2 linked regions of the Caenorhabditis elegans genome follow. The protein of the gene in region 1 purifies or fractionates together with the protein of each later gene. This does not show direct contact. Each region holds a gene or a part of one and is shown on either strand. Other genes may lie near its edges.

What was found.
Region 2: the proteins of crmb-1 (region 1) and algn-1 fractionate together in Caenorhabditis elegans (co-fractionation; one large-scale study listed by BioGRID). This does not show direct contact.

What each region holds. Positions count from the first base shown.
Region 1 is NC_003282.8:264,055-273,877, reverse strand, and holds crmb-1 (Serine/threonine-protein kinase), read right to left. Parts: upstream 4,472-9,823; coding exon 4,440-4,471; intron 4,393-4,439; coding exon 3,710-4,392; intron 3,290-3,709; coding exon 3,182-3,289; intron 3,136-3,181; coding exon 3,052-3,135; intron 3,002-3,051; coding exon 1,779-3,001; downstream 1-1,778. Other genes in the region: srh-282 (Serpentine Receptor, class H), read left to right, coding at 615-801, 897-1,318, 1,366-1,563; T21D12.12 (BPTI/Kunitz inhibitor domain-containing protein), read right to left, coding at 5,607-5,718, 5,776-5,839, 6,014-6,127, 6,172-6,262, 7,257-7,427; pat-6 (Paralyzed arrest at two-fold protein 6), read left to right, coding at 9,654-9,821.
Region 2 is NC_003281.10:6,452,408-6,462,230, reverse strand, and holds algn-1 (Chitobiosyldiphosphodolichol beta-mannosyltransferase), read right to left. Parts: upstream 2,112-9,823; 5' UTR 2,105-2,111; coding exon 2,070-2,104; intron 2,026-2,069; coding exon 1,870-2,025; intron 1,757-1,869; coding exon 1,567-1,756; intron 1,520-1,566; coding exon 1,392-1,519; intron 1,063-1,391; coding exon 910-1,062; intron 863-909; coding exon 49-862; 3' UTR 9-48; downstream 1-8. Other genes in the region: jhdm-1 (JmjC domain-containing histone demethylation protein 1), read right to left, coding at 2,827-2,911, 2,960-3,171, 3,220-3,629, 3,686-3,878, 3,930-4,706, 4,771-4,815, 5,657-5,899, 5,955-6,031 and 5 more.

The sequences.
Region 1 (9,823 bases):
AAGTTAATATTTTTCTGGCCAAACTTGGGCAAGAAGCTGAAGCCAAATGTCGAGATATTTCCTCTATAAGTGCAGCTTCTAGTATTCTTTATAATAGTAGCCTTTATTAGTAGTCTTGCGCCTTGACAAACTACATACCATGAAAATTAGTCTTTCAGCCCATATTCACACTTAATTTTTGAGGTGTCTGTCCACCAGGATTTTTGCAGAATTGGCCTACTCGACATACGATTGTCAGCGGAATCGGGCACAATGAGCAACACCGCGACTCGCAAACGGTCGAAGATTGTTTCCAGCTTGATCACACCCCCATAAATCTGCGTTGTAGGGTTAGTTTCCTCTTTCTTTTTTATTATTCGCTCATAATTTTCACTTATGTGAAACTATTGGTTATACACATCATGTGCTTCGTATAATAACCACCTTCAAATATTTCTTCATAAAATGGCTTCAGTTTTCTGATGCATTCTCTTTTCTATCTCAAAACAGACATGTTCTTGAAATTTTTTGGCTCGATTCCCGTTTACTCAACAATTCAGTACTCGATAGCTGTGATATCACTACCAGTTCAACTATTTGGCGTATACTGTATTATCGCAAAGACTCCACCGACAATGTGTTCTACAAAACTTCATCTGCTAAATTTTCTGATGTGGTCTATGGCATATGATATGATTATGACCTGTGTGGGTCAACCATACCTTTTCTCTACTACAATGGCCGGAATTCCTTTAGGGTTTTTACACATGATAGGTATAGGGACGGGAGCTCAAATTTATTTTGGAATGACTATTGCAGCATGTAGGTTGAAATTTTCATTTAATTACCTTGTAACCGAAAACCGTAAAACCTCCATCAAAAACCACAAAAAACCAGATTCTTCAAATTATTTTCAGTTTGTGCAATATCCACAGTTCAGTTATTCGAGAACCGCTTCTTCGTGCTCTTCGCAGAGAAAACTTGGTGGCGGCATGTCAGATACCCGTTCAAAGTGTTCAACATCACCTTTGGAGTGGCATTTTATCTTCCAACTTATTATGCTATGCCTGACCAATATCTTCCAAGGCAACAATTATTTATGGTACATCCTGAGCTTATTCAATTTGATTCGCCTGAAAATCCTATATTCGTTATGGCTCTCGATTTTCCGTGGATCCCAGTGTACTCTCAAAGAGTTTTTACGATAATTATAATTATTGAAATGATAGTGTTCGGAACATTGCTACAAGTGAATATGAACTGGGCAGTAAGAAAAATGATCGTGTCCAATAAAACTTTACAACTACAACGGGATTTCGTGAAATCCATAAAATTACAGGTCTGTGTTTCAATTTTTTTTTTTTCATTTTTTTCTTTTTTTTTAAGATTTTAATACCACTACTATTCGTAGTTCTACCTTCTGCTTGGTTGGCTATAATGGGAGCATATAACATTTCCGACCAAGGCAGTGGAAATTTAGCACGTAATATAATCTCCCTACATGGTGTTTCATCTACCGTTTTGATGATTTATCTTCAAAAACCGTACCGACAATATTTTAAACAGATCTTTAATTTCAAGTGATGCTCTTAAGGAATGAATTTTTTAATTGAAGAAAACAAACGTATATGATTATGATAGAACATGAGTTGTAGTGAGCGAACAGAGAACTTTGAATAGTTTTTCAAAATTTATTTAGTTTTGTTAAATAGTTTCAAAAAATATATAATGTAACCCATTCATTTACCCGAAATCAAATACTCAAAACAGAAACATATCAAGAAATAAAATATATCCGGTCATCCGAATAGTCTCCAGAATCTTCTCATCTCCATTTCAGTTGTCGTCCCCACTGTTGTTGTATCTTCTGTAGTGGTAGAGGTTTTGGAAGTCGTTTGCAGTTCCGTTGAAGTATCGAACTCTATGACACGTGTTGTTTCAATACTTCTAGGAGACGATGTAAAGTCAGACGTTGATGTTACTTGTGTTTCTTCAAAGAATAGAGTTGTAGAAAGTTTTTCAAAAATGGTCGCTGTTGTGGCTGAAGATGTTTCTTCTGTAGACAGAGTAGTCTGCTCCTTTGTAGAAGTTCCTTCCATAGGAAGCGTCGAAAATGAGGATGTTGGGATTTTGAAGGTTGTAAACTGAGTTGTGGAGTAGCTTGACTCCGTTGTGGTTGATAGTTCATCTGTTTCCATTGTCGTGCTGATTTTTGCTTCTTCCGTTGAAGTAATAATTGATAGATCAGTAGTTGAAGGGATAAATGACGTTGTTATAGGTTCATTAGTAGCTGGCACAGTAGAAGACTCAGTTTCAAACGTGGATGAATGTTCATTCGCCTCCATCGTCGTACTGGCAGGTTCACCCGTTGCTGTTGTGGATGATACTTTAGTACTTGAAGTTTCTAAAGATGTTGTTTCTGGCTCATATGTGACCGATACAGTAGAAGACTCCATTTCATAAGTAGTTGATTGTGCATTTGGCTCTATTGTCGTGCTGATGTCAGGTTCTTCTGTTGATGTATTAGTTAACATATCAGTGGTTGAAGTTTCCAAAGATGTTGTTATTGGTTCATAAGTTGTCGACATCGTGGAAAACTCCATGCCGGTAGTGGACGATTGTTCATTCGACTCCGTCGTCGTGCTGGTGTCTGGTTCTTCTGTTGATGTAATTATTGAAATATCAGTCGTTGAAGTTTCCAAAGTCGTTGTTATTGGTTCATAAGTTGTCGACATCGTGGAAAACTCCATGCCGGAAGTGGACGATTGTTCATGTGTCTTCACCGTTGTGCTGATGGGTTCTTCCGTTGATGTAATTGTTGATATATCAGTGGTTGAAGTTTCCAATGACGTTGTATTCATTTCGTAGGTTGTTGTAGAAGTTGGAAGTGATTCTGTCGTGGGGCTTGGTGGTTGTGTTGTTGTGTGACATCTTTGTTTTCTTGAACAACGCCGCCTTCGATGACATTCTACATATCTAGGAAGGCAGCTAGATCTGATGCATTCCAACATGCACTTCTTCCCTCCAAATTTACAACATGGAAGATGAGCACATCTATGAAAAGCACCGCACCTTCTATTTCTTCTGCATCTATCGAATAGACACAACGTATTTTCTTCTGAGGAATTTTCGGAAGATCCACAGTTTGAACGGCATCTAAATTTATTATGCCGTCGGTTTTCACATGGTCTTCTTTGTTCACCACTTAAAGACGATTCATCAGATGATTCAGCTTTCGAATTACGTAGAATCCTCCAACTCGGAGGTAAAACTCGCCGAGCATGATGTCCGTCCACTCCAATGAAGTCAACTGAAACATAACATTTTAAAGCGTTATTAACAGGGGAAGTTAATGATAACAGTATGAACGGGAAAACTTTTTATAAGTTACATATCTGAAACTCTTTCAAGTGAGAGAATTCAGTAGTGTCGTTGGAAATTTTTGTGGATAGGAAATGGTTCCCAGTGACAATTTTAAGTGTTGAAGTTTTTAAATTTGGTTAACAGGGATACTTTACCCATTCAACAAAAAACGCTATCAGAAAAATTATGATGATTTTTATAGTCTCTAAAAATTAGTGTACTGAAAAATAGTAATGCAACAACAGGAGTTAGTATTTAAGAGAGAGAGAGAGAAAGAGAGAGGTGGAGTAACAAATGGAAAATATTCTGCAATCGAAACATTTTTTTCAAATGTTAAAAATTACTCCTAAAGTTGATTTTTACTTACATTGGAAATAAGTGTTTTCATCACTTTGCGCATCGTTTACTTCTTCGGACGAAGAAGAATCTCGGTGTGACTCTGGTCGATTGGAGCAGTAGCAAGGATCACACAACCGACGGTGATGACTATATGGACAACATGGACGGCAGCAATGAATTCTTGGTGAGTCAGCTCCCGGTCCACTTCCACCTCCACTTCCGGAACCACCTCCAGAGCTTCCATTATTACCATAAACGGTCAAATAATTATTAACCACGTTATTATTACTATTATTATTGTTCGATCCTGACATACTATGACTAGAACTTGACAAATTATTAGTGTTAGAGTTGATCAGACTACTGTTTAAACCTATGTTTTGAATTGAACTAGCTGCCGAGCTGGAGTTGGATGTGCTACCCACTGATCCGTTTCCAGGCGTTAACCCAGCTCCTACACTAGAACTTGAAGAATTTAGGGAAACGCTTTGATTTTGACTAATAGAAAGGTTATTATTCAAATGTGAACTATAATTTCCATAGTTTCCAGAAGCCCCTAAAAATCCTAGGCCGACTGTAAAATTATCACTATTATTATTTTGATTAACATATTCGATTTGGTTAGAAACGGAGTTGTTATTCAAATTTTCGCTAAGACTGGTGCTGGAGCCATTGGAAGATGATGGTGAATCTGGAGATGGAGGTTGCGTTCTTTAGGAATATATATATTATTTTAAGGCAACAATAATGAAACTTACATAATAGGAGTGTCTGCTGGATAAGTTGTCATGCATGAATTTGAGAAAGGTATTATCAATATTGTTGGCAAAATAAGAAGACGAAGCATTTTGAAATTGACAGAAACTCCTAAAACAGCATTATCAAAAATTACTATAGAACAAAATTGAGTATTTTACAAACTTTGTCTAAAGGAAAGAAAACATCTTGAAAGTTCAATTCTGATTGTTTAGATTGTCTTGTAGGCGTTAATTTCACACAATTGTAGCTTCAACTGAATCATTTTCCACGGATGTGTCTTGATTCCACTTTCATGAGAAGTTGTAAACTGCTTCGATGCGCGTGCACTTCCATCTTCCTCTGCTGCAAATTGGCCTCGAGCGGAACTTTTTGAAACCGTTTTATTTTTATGATCGAATAACGCAAGAAGCAAACATTTTGGATGATCAGAAAACAATGAATGAAGCATTGAAACAAGGAATGAATTAAACTACATAAATGTTTTCAATAGCGTTTGATACTTTGAGTTTTTGGTTTTAAAAGATTTTAAGAACATTAAACAAGGCATTTGTTCAAAACATGCAAACATTGAAAACTGAGCATTTTTGTTTTACACAAATTCTTCTTAATCCGAATGTATTAAAAGATTTTGCAACGAAAATTTGAACTCTTTTCAATTTCACAAGTTTTTAGAAAAGCTATTTCGGCAGACATCTGAAGGGTGCGCTCGAATGTAAGTAACAAAATAAAAAATGATTTTTAAAAAAACTGCGAAAACAATACATTCAATTACAGTGCTGGCCGAAAAGATATCCACTTTTAGTTTTTTGATAATTTCACTAATTTTTCAAATAAGTATAACTATAAAACTAGAAATGCTACCGAAAAATTTTCAATTAACGTAATATAGTACATGACTATGTTTATTCGTACTTATATGTATTGATTATCCACTAAAATCGTGGCAAGAAGTTATTATGATATTCCAGTTTCTCTGTTCCGTGATATTACTGTAAATAATATCTATTTTGAACTAGTATTAAGATATTTAAACACGTCTTTACTTGATTTTTTGGTAATTTTTATCAACTTGCATGATTCATTTATATAGGTCTTTGTGCAAAATAAATTGTTTTCGTTTGAAATATTTATATACATTAAGAAAACTACTGTTATTTGCTAAAATGTTACATGCAAAAGTTTTTGCATTCGTTGTACGTAGCAAAGTTGTTAGCATTTCCATCGCGGCCATAGAAAGTGAACAGCATGCAGTTCTTGTAGGACTTTGAGAAGAAATATCTGAAATTTAATTTATTGAATCCGTGAAAGTACAATAAAAATTAGTTGAATTCTTACCTGGGTGTATGTTTTCCACTAGATCCGAATTTTCCAGCGTCGTACTGCAAACTACATGTGTTTTCTGCAAATTTCTTCGATCTTTTGTTGTGCTTCTTTCACATTTGAATAAATATTTACACATCGAAACAGAGTTTTTAGTTCTAAAACACCAGTGTTCAGACAAAGTACAAACCGCTTTAAACTTGTGTTTTAAAGATCACTATAACTTTTCAAAATCTCTTCAGAAAATAGTAACCTTTTGTTGGACAGCATTGTTGATTTTGACACTCGTAACCATGTGGGCAATTCGAACATCCAACAGTCTGACCAGAAGTGGCTCCAGCTGGGTATGCTCCAGATGGACATACAGCTGAAAAACTATTATACACCTTTGTCATCCATTGTTCAACTAACCGTAAGCTAAATCGTCAGAAGCAGTCGCGTTCCGGCAAGCTGATTCACAAGCCTCTTTCGATTGGAATCGATTGGAGTTGCCGTCGCATCCCTAAAATTGTTTTATTCATTTTAATTGAACGTTTTTCCAAGAAGTATACTATTCTGTTAAATTCAACGAGAAATTTCCGTTTGTGAGAAGATAAGGTATATTCCTAGCATCAGCTCAAGCACAAGCTAAGAATATACCGTAAGTATGGCCCTTAGCCTGGGCATAAGCCTAACCTTAGCCTATGACAAAACCTAAGCCTAACTAGGGAACCATCAGAAGGTGCCCATCAGACTTGCATATGAAACCTATGCCATTCGATAGCCCATGTCTTAAAACGGTTACTCGTGAATTTTTAGCTGCGAATCTCCAGAACCAAGGTCACTGCGAGCTCTCAAAGATTCTAAAATAGCACTATAACGAAGCACTGTAACGATGAAAAGAAGCAATTTTCCAAATTCACTTTGGTAGCCTATATCTCCGTGGATATATTTTTTACAGAAAAGTCATCAACTAAAAATTTTTTTGATAAAAACTTGTAGTTGAAAGTTTTTATCAAAAAAATTGTTGTTTCAGATTTAACTAAAAACTTGTTCTTTACAACAATATCAACAACTTTTTAGTTGATGACTTTTCTGTAAAAAATTTATCGGCGGAGATATGAGCTACCAAAGTGAATTTGGAAAATTGACCTTTCAAAGCTTCGTTACAGTGCTATTTTAAGATCTTTGAGAGCTCGCCGTGAGCTTGGTTCTGGAGATTCGCAGCTAAAAATTCACGAGTAACCGTTTTAAGACATGGGTTATCGAATGGCATAGGTCTCATATGCAAGTCCGATGGGCACCTTCTGACGGTTCCCTAGTAAGCCTCCTCCGAGACTAAAAATTTTGGAGTGACCTTCTATTAAGGTCCTCTTTCAATTATAATAGGTTTCATTCGGAAGTCCGAGGACGAGCTGAAAGGCTTCCCTTGTCAGCCTAACTCTAAACCAAAGCTTAAGCCTAAACCTAAACCTAATATAGGTAGTATGCTAAAGGACTACTGGAAAAAACAGTACCTGATAGAAAAATGGCTGACATGTGCGGGTATTCTTGTGGAAATAAAATGAGCGGGCTCCCTGCTGACCACATCCAGAATTTCCAGTATCGCGAGCGGAAAAACAATCTGTCTGCTGTTGAGCAAAGCAAAATGTTATGAAAATGGTGGAAATCGTAATTGCAGTTAGCATTGTCTGAAAAAATACAATTTTTTTTACCCGTTAATGATCAATGAGAGTGGAATAATATTACTAGCCAATGCCAATTAAAAGCAGAAACCAAAAAGAAAACTTCAATTCTCGAATGATCTTTTCCTATTTTATACTCAAATTCCTAGCAATATTTACTTAAGAATCTTCGTCCCACCTACATAACTAAGATTTGGCAAATATCAAAAGTTTGGTCAACAGGAAAATGTTCAAAATTGAGTTGGTGGTTAACAAATAACCTACACATTCTCCCGAAAAAGAATTCATTAAAGATCAATGGGCACGATTGAAAACATGGCAAAGTTTTATTGAAAAATGAAAAACAGGCAAATATTTGGCTGAAATCGCTCAGTTTTCAGAAAATATCCACACTTTGACTGAAAATGGTGTAGGAATTGATGTAATAACAAGAGACAACAATCGATGTGGTTCCGTTTTTACAAATCGAATTGTTGATAACAAAGAAAATAAGGGAGCGTTTTGAAAATGAAGGAACTGGTTTTTCGATTGTACGAGATACAATAGTTCTTGACACAGACACCTACAATTTGTTGATAACGAAGGATAGACGCATCGGGTTGATGATTAAACAAATTTGAAGGAAGTACACGAAATTTCAAAAATTTAAAGGTGGAGTAGCGTCAATGGGGATTTTGTCTAAATACGCTTATTATGATTTCAAACGACCGAATATCATAATAAAACTACAAAAATTTTTAGATTTTCCCTAATTTCGGTCAAAGTTTTGGCACATTACCAAAATTTTGACAAATATGAGCTTTTGAGGACATCCAAAGCAATGTCGCATATTCCGGTCTTTACAATGATTCAACAAAAATAATTGAAACAAAATTACAGTATAAAAAATGTAGGAAAAATAATTTTTTTTGGTCGACTTCCAAAATTATGAGTGGCAAAAACTGAATATTGAACACTTTTTGACAGTGAATAAAAATTTTTCAAAAAAGTTTTGAAAAGTTTTATTATGATTATTTGTCACTTTGGCACCATAGGAGTATTTTTTAACACTTACTCCATTGGCCCTACTCCACCTTTAATAATTTTCAGATTTCCTAATTTTCTAGATTGCATGCTAATTTTTACAATTACTAGTTCAATGTTTCTTAATCTGATTTCGGTTTAATGCAACTATTATCATACGCCAGGAAATCGAATGTACCGTACGTATAATCAATGTAACTGATGTGATTTTTCATAATTTTTTCCTAAAATTGTTTTTCAAAATTTTTTCAAAAATTGCTATGGAAAAAACTATTTTCAAAAGACCGACCTGTGGACCGACTGTACCGTATTTCCTCTATTAGTCTTGCACTCCTACAGACTAATTGAAAATCAGTCTTACAGCCTGTAATAGTCTAGCACCCCACTTTTTGTCATATTAGCAGAACTTTGTGGAAACGTAAGCAAATTTATCATTTTTGGAGTAAATCAAATGTAAAATCGTTCAAATAATTGATGTAATATTGGGAAAGTATGTATTTTTCATTGTTTGAACGGTCAAAATTGTATCACTTTCCAAAGTTCGAAAAATAGTTTTCAGTCTCTATTAGTCTTGCACCCCTAAAGACCAATTGAAAATTAGTCTCGCATGCAAGACTAATAGCGAAAATACGGTAAATGCAGAGTTGTTGTCTTTCTTAATTTATTTTTATTTTTATTTATTTGAATATTAGTTGTTATATGGACGTCCTTTTCTTTCTCAATACATATGCATATACAAATATTAACTTTCCGTTCTTCTTTCCTATTCCCATACATTTATATGTATCCCAAAGCCTTCTCTCTCCCCCACACACACCATTTATCTGCACCATCCTCTTTTCACCCAATCTCTCATTTGTCGTAAACTCTCCTTCCAACTCTACGTCTCTTATTGTTCCCAACACTCTCTCACTTTTTCAACACTGACGACGGCTGTTTTACACTATCTGCTGGCCTGGATGGGGACTTTTGTGTTGCTCTACGGAAAGAATCCTCCCACACAATATTTTTACTGCTATTTGAACATTGAATTATCGATTTTTCAAATTTAAATTTAAGTGCTTAAAGAGGAAATGTTCCAAAACAGAGTTTCATAATGAGACTTCAAAATTTTTTTAACTTATCAATATCTAATTGTACTTTATTTTTTATTATGAATCAACAAATATTTACCCCTTAATAATTTTAAACTTTTCAGCAATAACCATGTCAACACTTGGTCGTAGTAAGACCCCATCTCGTGACGAACCAAAAAAGCCTGGAGTCTTTGAGAAACTCTCTGGTACCCTTTCTCGAAAGAAGAAGGCGCCGGAAGATGAGCATGGAAACCAAGGGGGTGCACATCATGCTACTGATGAAGATGAAGTTTTGGAGGT
Region 2 (9,823 bases), on another chromosome or scaffold:
ACAATTTTGGCCAATAGTTTATTGAATGTACAAAACCCCGAAAAAAAATTAAAGCGATCTGAATGCCCCCGAAAAAGTGCCCATAAATAAGTGAATCGGCATGATCAATAAAATAGCGAAAAATGAGAATTGAATAATTGCACGAAGTTTGGCGAATCCATTGTCTGGAACTCGAAAGTCTGCACCAGAGGTAGCTGATCTCTTCCACATCACTTCCCAAGAATCGAATTTTTGCTCCTGTGTATTCTTCTTGAGCCGTATCAATTCATTGCAATTATTTGGGAATCCACGAGAAAGTTCAATAATTTGACGACTCAACTGCTCAGAATCATCGAAAAGATATCCATTAGTTTTCTCCTCAACGAGCTCATCAATACATTTGAATTTTAGAGCCAATGCTGGAACTTTAGCTCCAAACATATCAACAACTTTCATCGGAAGATCCAATCCAGACGTGCTTGTGTGCAAAGAGATTCCTAAGTCAGCAGAGGCTAGAATCTTTGGATAATCTTCTGCTTCCAACCATGGAGTCAATACATCGACATTCTTCAGATTTTTCTCGTGAATTTCTTGTAAATATTTCGCTTTCAGTGGACCTTTTCCAGTGATAATCATCAAAACTCGCGGGAGTCCGATTGTTTTGTCATATGCAACCAGCGCATCGAGAAGAATTTCAAACCGTTCATCAGGTGTCCAGGATGTGGAAGAGAGAAACACAATGGGTCGAGTTGTTAGTAGCTGCACTACTCCGTTCGAAGATTTATGAGTCAGAATTGTGGAGTCTTCGTCTTTTCCTTGTAGAATTCGTTCCTTTTGTGAAAGTCTTAGATACAAATCATGGATCTCTTGTATTGTTGTGTCTCTGAAAATTTCGAGATTAATTTTCAGAAATTTCACATTTGTTCAAACCTAAATTTCCACGTCGGCGGCCTATCATAGAATGTGCTGGCTCTGATGCCCCATCGATCCATGAGATCTCGACGCATGGCATTTGTTACACACAGATTATAATCGGATAGTTTTCCACATAGACCTTCTAGGAATCCAACACATCTCACAATTCTGAAAATGTAAATTGTTCAATACGAGTTTGATTTATTGTACAGACGCGAATGTTTTGGCTAAAATACGTTGCCCGGTCTCGGCACGACAAGTTTTCGTTAAATATGAAAGGTTATGCGCCTTTGAAGAGTACTATAGTTTCAAATTCGTTGCTGCAACAGTTTGATGTGATTTTTCCAGTTTTCGTAAAAAATATTTTTCATGGGATAAATTACAGTACTCTTTAAAGGCGTATGTCATTCTTCGTTTCACAAAGATTTGTCGTGTGGAGACCGAGTACCGACTGTTTTTTTTCGCGTCGGGGAACAATGCCGGTGTCCAATACTCACTGGGCTTTTTTGGTTTTTTTATCGTTTCCAAAAACTTGATCATCGGTCAATTGGTATTTATTTTGTAGAATTGAATACATGTAATTGTGCCAATCAATTGAGAATTTTGCGAATTTGAATATGGAAAACTGAAATTAAAGTTGATATTTTATAACGGTAGTCAGTAGAATCCTACCATGAAACAAACTATCATCGTCGGAAGCGCCGGCGGATTCTGCATAAGAATAATTCTTAAATTAAAGGCGCTTGTTTGAAAAGCGAGAGCCAAGAAAAGAGTTATAAAGTTCCAAAAAAGTTTCAGTGGAAGTTGCACGAAAGCTGGTAACGAATCCATGAAGTCAGGAGGTGGCGGGATTCCAACTATTCTGAAATTTTATTTATTTGGAAAAATTCTTTGGATGATTTGTAACTAAATTTATTTTTTTAAACGGAACAACTTTTTTGCAAATTTTTTAGATAAAAATTTTCTGAAACTCACTTTATCCTTGGATGATTCATAATTTGTTCTCCTGGAATAGAATCGAAAAATCCAATAAGTTTGACATCAAATCCTTCATCAGCGAGCATTTTTGCGTGATTACACATTCGTGGGCTTCTGCCGACATCACCAAGAACGACGACTGCGGCTTCACTTCTAAACTGTTATTTTCAGTAATTTTTAAAAATTTTTTGTTTTACCTCTCGTCTGGCGATTCGTCGTCTTCCTTTGCCATTGTACGCCTATGAAGATTCAATTTTTTAAGCTTGAATTATGGAAATTTCCTATTGCAAAAGTATAGACTACAAGGAATTTCCACCTATTTTCCAGTCCGTAAACGATAAATTCTAACGTCTGCTTTATTAAAATGAAAAAACTAGAAAAGGATCAAGTAAACAAAAAATGAATACAGAGATACGGTTCATCAAGGCAAGTAAAGCTCTCGTGAATTGGTATTGGCATTTGTTTTTAAAAAAATACGATAGATAAAAAACAACGGATATCGACGGGAAATTAGTTGGAAACATTGAGATGCAAAAAAGAATTTCTGTACGAGAATCATCATCAGACCACGACGTTGCAGATAAAATTATTTTTGAAAAATGGGAGGAGTAAAAAACGGGTAAAGATAGATAATTTGGAATGAAAAATGAACAGCAATAGGTGTTTGAATAACATTGCAAATTGAGGTAGCTTGAAAAAACAATGGATGTGTTAATTCAAGAAATTCAGACAACTTTCGCAAATGCTGGAACTTAAAATAACACGAGATAACAACAAAAACCATATATTAATGGACATTAAGATAGAAACAAATGTTGGAAAATGAGAGCTTATATTTTGCGACAGAGCCCGAACTTGTTGATTAAGAACATTTTTGTTAAAAACAAGAAAATAATTGTAAATGAAAATGTAAAGAGGCGACGATCGATTCCTTAGTTGAATAGCAGATCAGAACTAGGAATCATTGATAGCTTTAAGTTTTCCGACGAGAAGCTTCAGCTCTGCAATCGCTTCTTTTGATGGAATCTTGTGCTTGTGCCTAAATAATACAAATTATAATATATAATTTCTTTAATACTATACGAACCCATCGTCATGATGCTGACTATGACTTTTGCGTCCATTTGACATATCCTTCTTCAAATCGCTGAGAGTAACCGGTGGTGGAGTGATTGCAGTTGGGTAGGTCGGCGAGCTGGCTATATTTATTGGTGATAATGAATCATTGACAACATCTATTGGAGAATCATCTTCAATTGAGTGACGATTAATGGACGACGTGTTCGGGAGCCAAGAAGACTGAAAAAATAAGAAAAATGTTTGCTAAAAATTGCATCAAAATCTTACTCTTGAAGGTGTTACAGTAGTCGGAGTGTATGGTGTATCAATAGATGAATTACGAGAAGAGTTGAAATCAGGTATGAAACTCGGACGACGTTCAGATGAGATCGAGGAGTGACGTGACGAGGGAGCAGATGCTCCCTCAGCAATCATCTTATCCTGACGAGACATTGCAGGCATATATACGCCCTTTTTCATTGCCGATCCTGCATCACTGCTTCGCCGTTCGCTCGACATGTGTTTTCGTAACTGATATTCGTTTGTCGATGAGACCATTGCTGGAGATGAAAGTTTTGGTTTTTGATGATGGGATGGTGATGGAGTTGGAGCAGCGTTCGGACTGGGACGATATTCTTTGTGTTCTTTATTTCTTGAAGACGATGGAGTTTCATATGTGTCAACACTAATTGCCTCATCTGGAATTAAATTGATTTTTTGAATTTTAAGTACGAAAATTTCAAATAAGACTTACATTTAGCTCTTTTAGTTGGAGGCTTCTGTCCATCGTAATGATCATTATTTGCTTCATTTATATCATCAAAAGTCGTGAAAACTGGAGTACTGTGCTCTGGTTCCATACTTTGCTCGCGGCTTTGACTTCCTTCCTCACTTCCTCGTTTCGGCTCAATCTTGTAGAGATTCTTTTCAATATGAAGTTCGACGTTCTTAAAATAGTTAATATTAAAATTGAATGAACAAAACAGATAAAAACTCACATTTTTCGTTTTTCTGTATGCTGACTTGAGCTGTCCAGTTCCAAGCTTCATCATCTCCATTCTGGGATCATAGTTATACGGATTTGAAACAACTGGATCGATTTGAATAGATGAAGTTGGAAGTCCACCAACAAATGCCGGCTTCTCTGGCTTTTTCTTTTTAGATTTGCTCGATCCTCCTCCATGAGCAGCTCTGAGCTCTGCATCGAGTTGACTTTCCAATTCAATACGTTCTCTCTCCTTCTTCTTCTTTTCCTTCGAAATTTTGTCTTTCTTACTCTTCGAATTCCTTCTCTTCTCGTCTTTTTCAACTTTCTCCATCTTTTCCTTTTTGTCCTTCTTTACTGACACTTCTTCTGATTCATCATTTTTAGCACCTGAACGTCTTGAACTAGAACGTCTTGTAACTGGAGTTGGAGTATATTCTTCGGCTTGATATTCATCTTCTTCTTCCTCCTCTTGATCTTCCGGCTCTTCGGCATCGTATTCCTCTTCCTCCTGATCATCACGTTGCCCAATTCCTTCATATTCCTCCTCAAATTCTTCTTCAAAACCATTAATATCCTCTTTAATTTCATCTTTGGGTGCAGGAAGATATTCGAGAGGTCCTGATGATGGTTGTTGAGGCAATATAATAGGCTTATCAGTCACTTCCGATTCTAAAAGCTCATCGGGAAAGTTATCAACTTTGAATCTTGTGCTTCTTCTCGCAGATTCTTGTGGTACTTCTTGCGTCGGCTGGAAGTCATATTCACCGGTTTCCATGGTGGATCGAGTCTGAAAGTTAGATTTTCAACCAATTGCAATAATTTTCAGAAATAATAACAATATAAAAACTTACATATCTTCGAGGCATTATCTGGTTGAATTCAAATTTCTTCCCTGTCTGAAAGTCAAAACAATTAAAATTTAAAAAAAAAACAATTTGCACACTTTAAACGATAGTGAGAAGTATGAAGACTTGGGCAACTACAAAAAAAAAAACATTTTGAAAATTTTAATGCAGCACAAAAAGGAATTTATTCTCGACGCAAATTAATAATTAGTATTAGAATTGTTATATCTTTTTGTGAACGGATTATTAGAAAATTTACAGATTATGAGATTATAATAGTGAGATAGTGAAGGAGATTGAACGTGTCGGTGTATGTGGTATGAGTCGATTGACTTTAGTTCGGCTGAAAAATTAGGAAACTAGCATTATTCGCCACTAAGTAGTGGAAATTTGAAAAAAAAAGACAGATGGATCTTTGCGAGATATTTACAAAATTATGAGTGCCCCGGTTGCAAATTATTAAACAGACTGTAAGAGATCATTCGATCGTCTTTTAGAATCGCGCGTTTCGCAGTACAATTACCGGCTGTAACAATGGATGTGACAATTAGATGTGGCAAGTGACATTAACAATAATTTTACACAAAAATAGAGCACTAAATGTAAATAAACTTAGTGTTAGTGTAACTAAAAATTATCGAAATAAACGTTTGTTCAGGGCAGAAAAGAATAACAGCTCATCAAACAATTTTTCAATTATACCTAAAAAAACCTAGATCAGATAAGTTTTTCTCACTATGCCAATAGCCTGCAAAATAATACGACAGTTTGAGGCCATAGAGACGCATGCAGAACGAGATGAAGAGGGCGATAGAGACGCAGGCGTTTCAACAGTCTTTCACTTCTCACTATCTACTACTTTCAACAATGTTTATCGGTCTTTTTGACTTACCAATTCAGAACGTCTTTTTTTCAAAACAGTTTGGAATGTGTTAATGAGAGACGCTGGCTGGCATATTCCTTCAGCCACTTCGACACGTGCTTTTCGACGAATATAAGTGCCAAGAGTTTCAAGTTCATCCAAAAGTCGAGGGGATATCCTAGAAATCTCATCATCGTTAAAGTAGATTGGCGGCTCGTGTCCAATTGGAAGTTTGTGGTCCGGCACGCATTTATTTCGAACAAAATCGTGCGTCTGAAAAACATGTAAATTTCGAGAGGAAACTTCATTGAATTCGATAAATTCTTACACGGTTCTTGTAGAAAATTAATGAATTTGAATTAGCTAGTTCATCGATTTCAGCATCGCGTCGAGCATCCATTTCTTCTGAAATTCATCAATTTTATTACTGTCGTGTTTAAATCTCCTTACCTTTAGTTTCTTGATACTTGACTTCATCTTCGTCAGCTTCTTCTTCAAGACCCGTGTCAGCTGAAAACGTTGCTTTGCTGACCATAGGATAACCAAATAGTGAATTCTCCGCGTGCATTGCAATCACTTTAACTTCTGAAAATTTCGATTTTAAAATCATATAAAAGAGAGAAAAATATTAAAAAGATCAAAGAAACCATTTTAAATTAGTCATTCATTCTTTTTTGACATTAAAAAATAAAAAATACTCTACCATCTTTTGTGGATTCCTCGTCTCCTTTAATCATATCGTTTGTCAATTCAACTCCAGTTTCGTAATCTGAGTATTCGATTTTCTTATGATGGCCACCAGCGGTTTTCCATTTGTCTCCAACATAGTCATATTTTGCATCTTCGATTCGAAGTGGTCTCACATATTCTCTTCCTGTCCATTGTTTTACATAATCAGCTATAACGTAGAAAATAAGTTCTTCATTGTACGGTAAGCGAAATTTTCTAGTGATCTGAAATGTTTCAAATTTGTTATTTACAAGTCTTCTGTAAAAACTCACATTCAACTTATTTTCAACTTGATAAACTCTTAATTGTGTTTTGCATGATTGTGAGTGAAGAAAATTGCCTCCAAAAACGAGACTATCATCTGGAGTATATACGGCATGAATCCATCCACTTGGAATTAGCATCGTGTCTCCTGGCTCCAAGATAGCCACGTGGCACTTTTCGACCGACTTTCCAAAGAACGCATTATCGTTGACAGTTTTAATAAATTCTTGATAAATAAAAAAGTTGGTTTCGGTTGGTGGAATCAACCAAAAGACTTTACGACCTTTCAGTACATGATACCACACAGATGTTCCACTAAAATCAATGTGAAAATCTGTATAACAGTTCGCTACGCTCATCAGGCAGTAGTTTTGAACTTTTGGAAAAGTATGATGCGGATTGTAGAATTTTTTGTCTCTTCCGTTGAATGAGATCCACCTCTGGCGCAGAGCATCTGGCCACTGGTTTCCAACCCAGTCGATTTGACGAACAAGTTCTGGAGATTTTACGAGATCTTCTAAGGGAGTTTGGGAAAATTCTAGAGATAGAACATTGTACAGTACTTCTCGTTTTTCTTGTGGCGTTCTGGAAAATGAAGTTTGATTGGTGTTTAATACTAATTTGTAATTACTCACTTGTAGAAGTTTATAAATTCCTGTAACGACATTTTCACACTTCCTTGATTCTGGACTTGAACAACTTCTATCATTCGATTTCCGCCTACCAGTTCGAGGACATCATCCACTGAGAAATCTGGTGAGGGAAGTCTGTAAAAATATTTATTTTTACAATTAATTGGAAAAATCAATACTCACGTCATTCCTATTCTTTTTGGATCACATCGGAAATGTATCGGGTTGTCAAGTCCATTTTTGTCGTAGAACTCCAAATTTAAAGCTTCTGGGTCCATTGTATGTACAAATTCGGGATGTTGGAAAGACGGATCATTCATCAGAGCTTCGAAATCAAAATTCACACATCGTTGAAGTGACGACTTATCGAATCCAGTAGTTTCTTCACCTTCTGAAGCACTATGTTCGTGCTCTGAACTTGACTCTTTCCTAGCCTTCTTTGCGCCCTTTTTACCGTTCGCTGGCGTTTTTCCATTTGATTTCCGTTTCGGCGGCATCTAAAATAATATATTTTATTAGAATCATAGGAAAATGGTTAGTTATGATACAAAACTGTCATAAAGTTGGCGTAACTACGGTAAATCAATTAAAGACTTGAACGCAGAGAACGGAGTTTTTCTCAGGACATTTTCAAGCGATTAATTAGATTAACTTTCGAGATTCTAATGGCTTTTAATAAAAGAAAATGTAAATTAAGTACCCAAAAAAAGTTTCGTGAACTGCTTGAATTAAAGGTACATGGAATTTTCGAAGGGTCTCAAACGGAACACAGTGATTTTAAAAAATCGATCGATTTGTCGGTTCTTATTTATTTAATTTTTTGGACTTTTTTCATCTTATTTTTGAAAACTGTTTCTAATTGTTTTGATTGAAGCGTTAATAAGACCGAGTAAGGAATTATCTTTAAATAAATTGACAAATTTTGAACATAATTTTCCGCACTACGATGAAAAAAGTTAAAATTTGATTATTTTTGCTTTTAAATGCTTCTTAAAAGCAATAAGAGAGAAATACACATTCAAAACATTAAAGCAAAAAGCGTGCAAAAATCGAAATAGAAACTATGGGCAAGGAACGGAAAAGGCGCAAGCTGGACCACTGGCGTGTTCGACGCAAGCCGTTTCTCTCTCTGCGACTCTCCTCACCCTCACCCCATAGTGCATTCCTGTTTGTTGTTTGATCGTATAACCAGCCTCCTTTCTTTTCACTCCCTGATTTCACTATTTCTTCCTCTTTTTTACTATTTATTCCATTAAAATACAATTCTGGGTTTTCAAGGTCAATATTTCTTCCTTATTCCTGATAATTCGTATCGATTTCCCCTGACATCCTTTCTGGCCTACAATTATGTGGCGTTGTGACGTAGACCGCTGAATTGACAAAACAGTCGAAAACGAACGGGTGGACGGCACCATTCTTTGTTTGCTGCTCAATCTTACAACGACTAAACTTTTTATCGATTTAGCGTTTTATCGACCGCAGCATAAATAGGAAGGGAATGGAATAGAATATACCGATCGTTTTCTAATTACCCATTCATAATCGATTAGCTGCCAGCATCAATAAACCAGCGGCTGCATCTTCTTATGTCATTCAGATTCTCGACACCGATTCGATGTTCTTTTTTTCAGCATATCTTCTTCGTCGGGCTCTCATGTAGTCGCATTGAAGAATGACAAACTGCATTTTTTATGCGATGACACTCTTGTGCACGATGTTGCCATCGATTTGTTGCTCTGTTTCTCATAGTTGTTTTTTTTCAATTCAGTCAAAATTAATAGATCAATAGGACATCTAAATTTAAAATTCCAGTTGGTATAATATTTAAAATATAAATAGAAACATTAGTCATGCGCATGGCGTCAAAATTTATCTAAATTTTAATCTTTGAGTATCTTTTCTGTTTAATTTTACGAGCCCAATAAGTGTATCTATTATTACGGAAATATACATTTTAAAGTTCAATTCCATAATTTCAATCCACCATTTTTTACACCAACCACCGACATCTACCGTGAGTGCAATAACGCTCCACGGCACTTCCCGCCAAAACCATATGACTGCACACCATTTGAATTTAGTCGCGTGTGCACGACATTGTTCTTTGTGCTCAGCTCTCGTCAAAAACCACTGAATTTGATTTCTAATGAGGTTATTCACGAAATGTGGATAAATATCTTAATGATGATGTTCTACTCGGTCTTTTGATATTTGGAAATTCAACGGAATCGGTGAAAGCCCACCCTTTTCACAATAGAAACCTTCACTTTCTAAAAAAAATATTCCTCCGAAAACCCATTCAATCTGCTTTACGCATCTCTCTGCCCGCTTCAATTTCCTCTGTTACCCTCTTCCCAACTACTTTTTCAGGTACATCCAAGATGGCTTTTCCATTTTCAATTACAGTATTCAGGACCGATGAAATCATATTGAATATCTGGGTTTTTGAAACAACACATTATAATATTTTTACCCAACCATTTCAAAACAAAAAAAATAAATTGTGGGCGAATATTTCTATTATTTCTATGACACCTCTTTTGCTTCTTTATAAATTTCTCTATTTTTACTA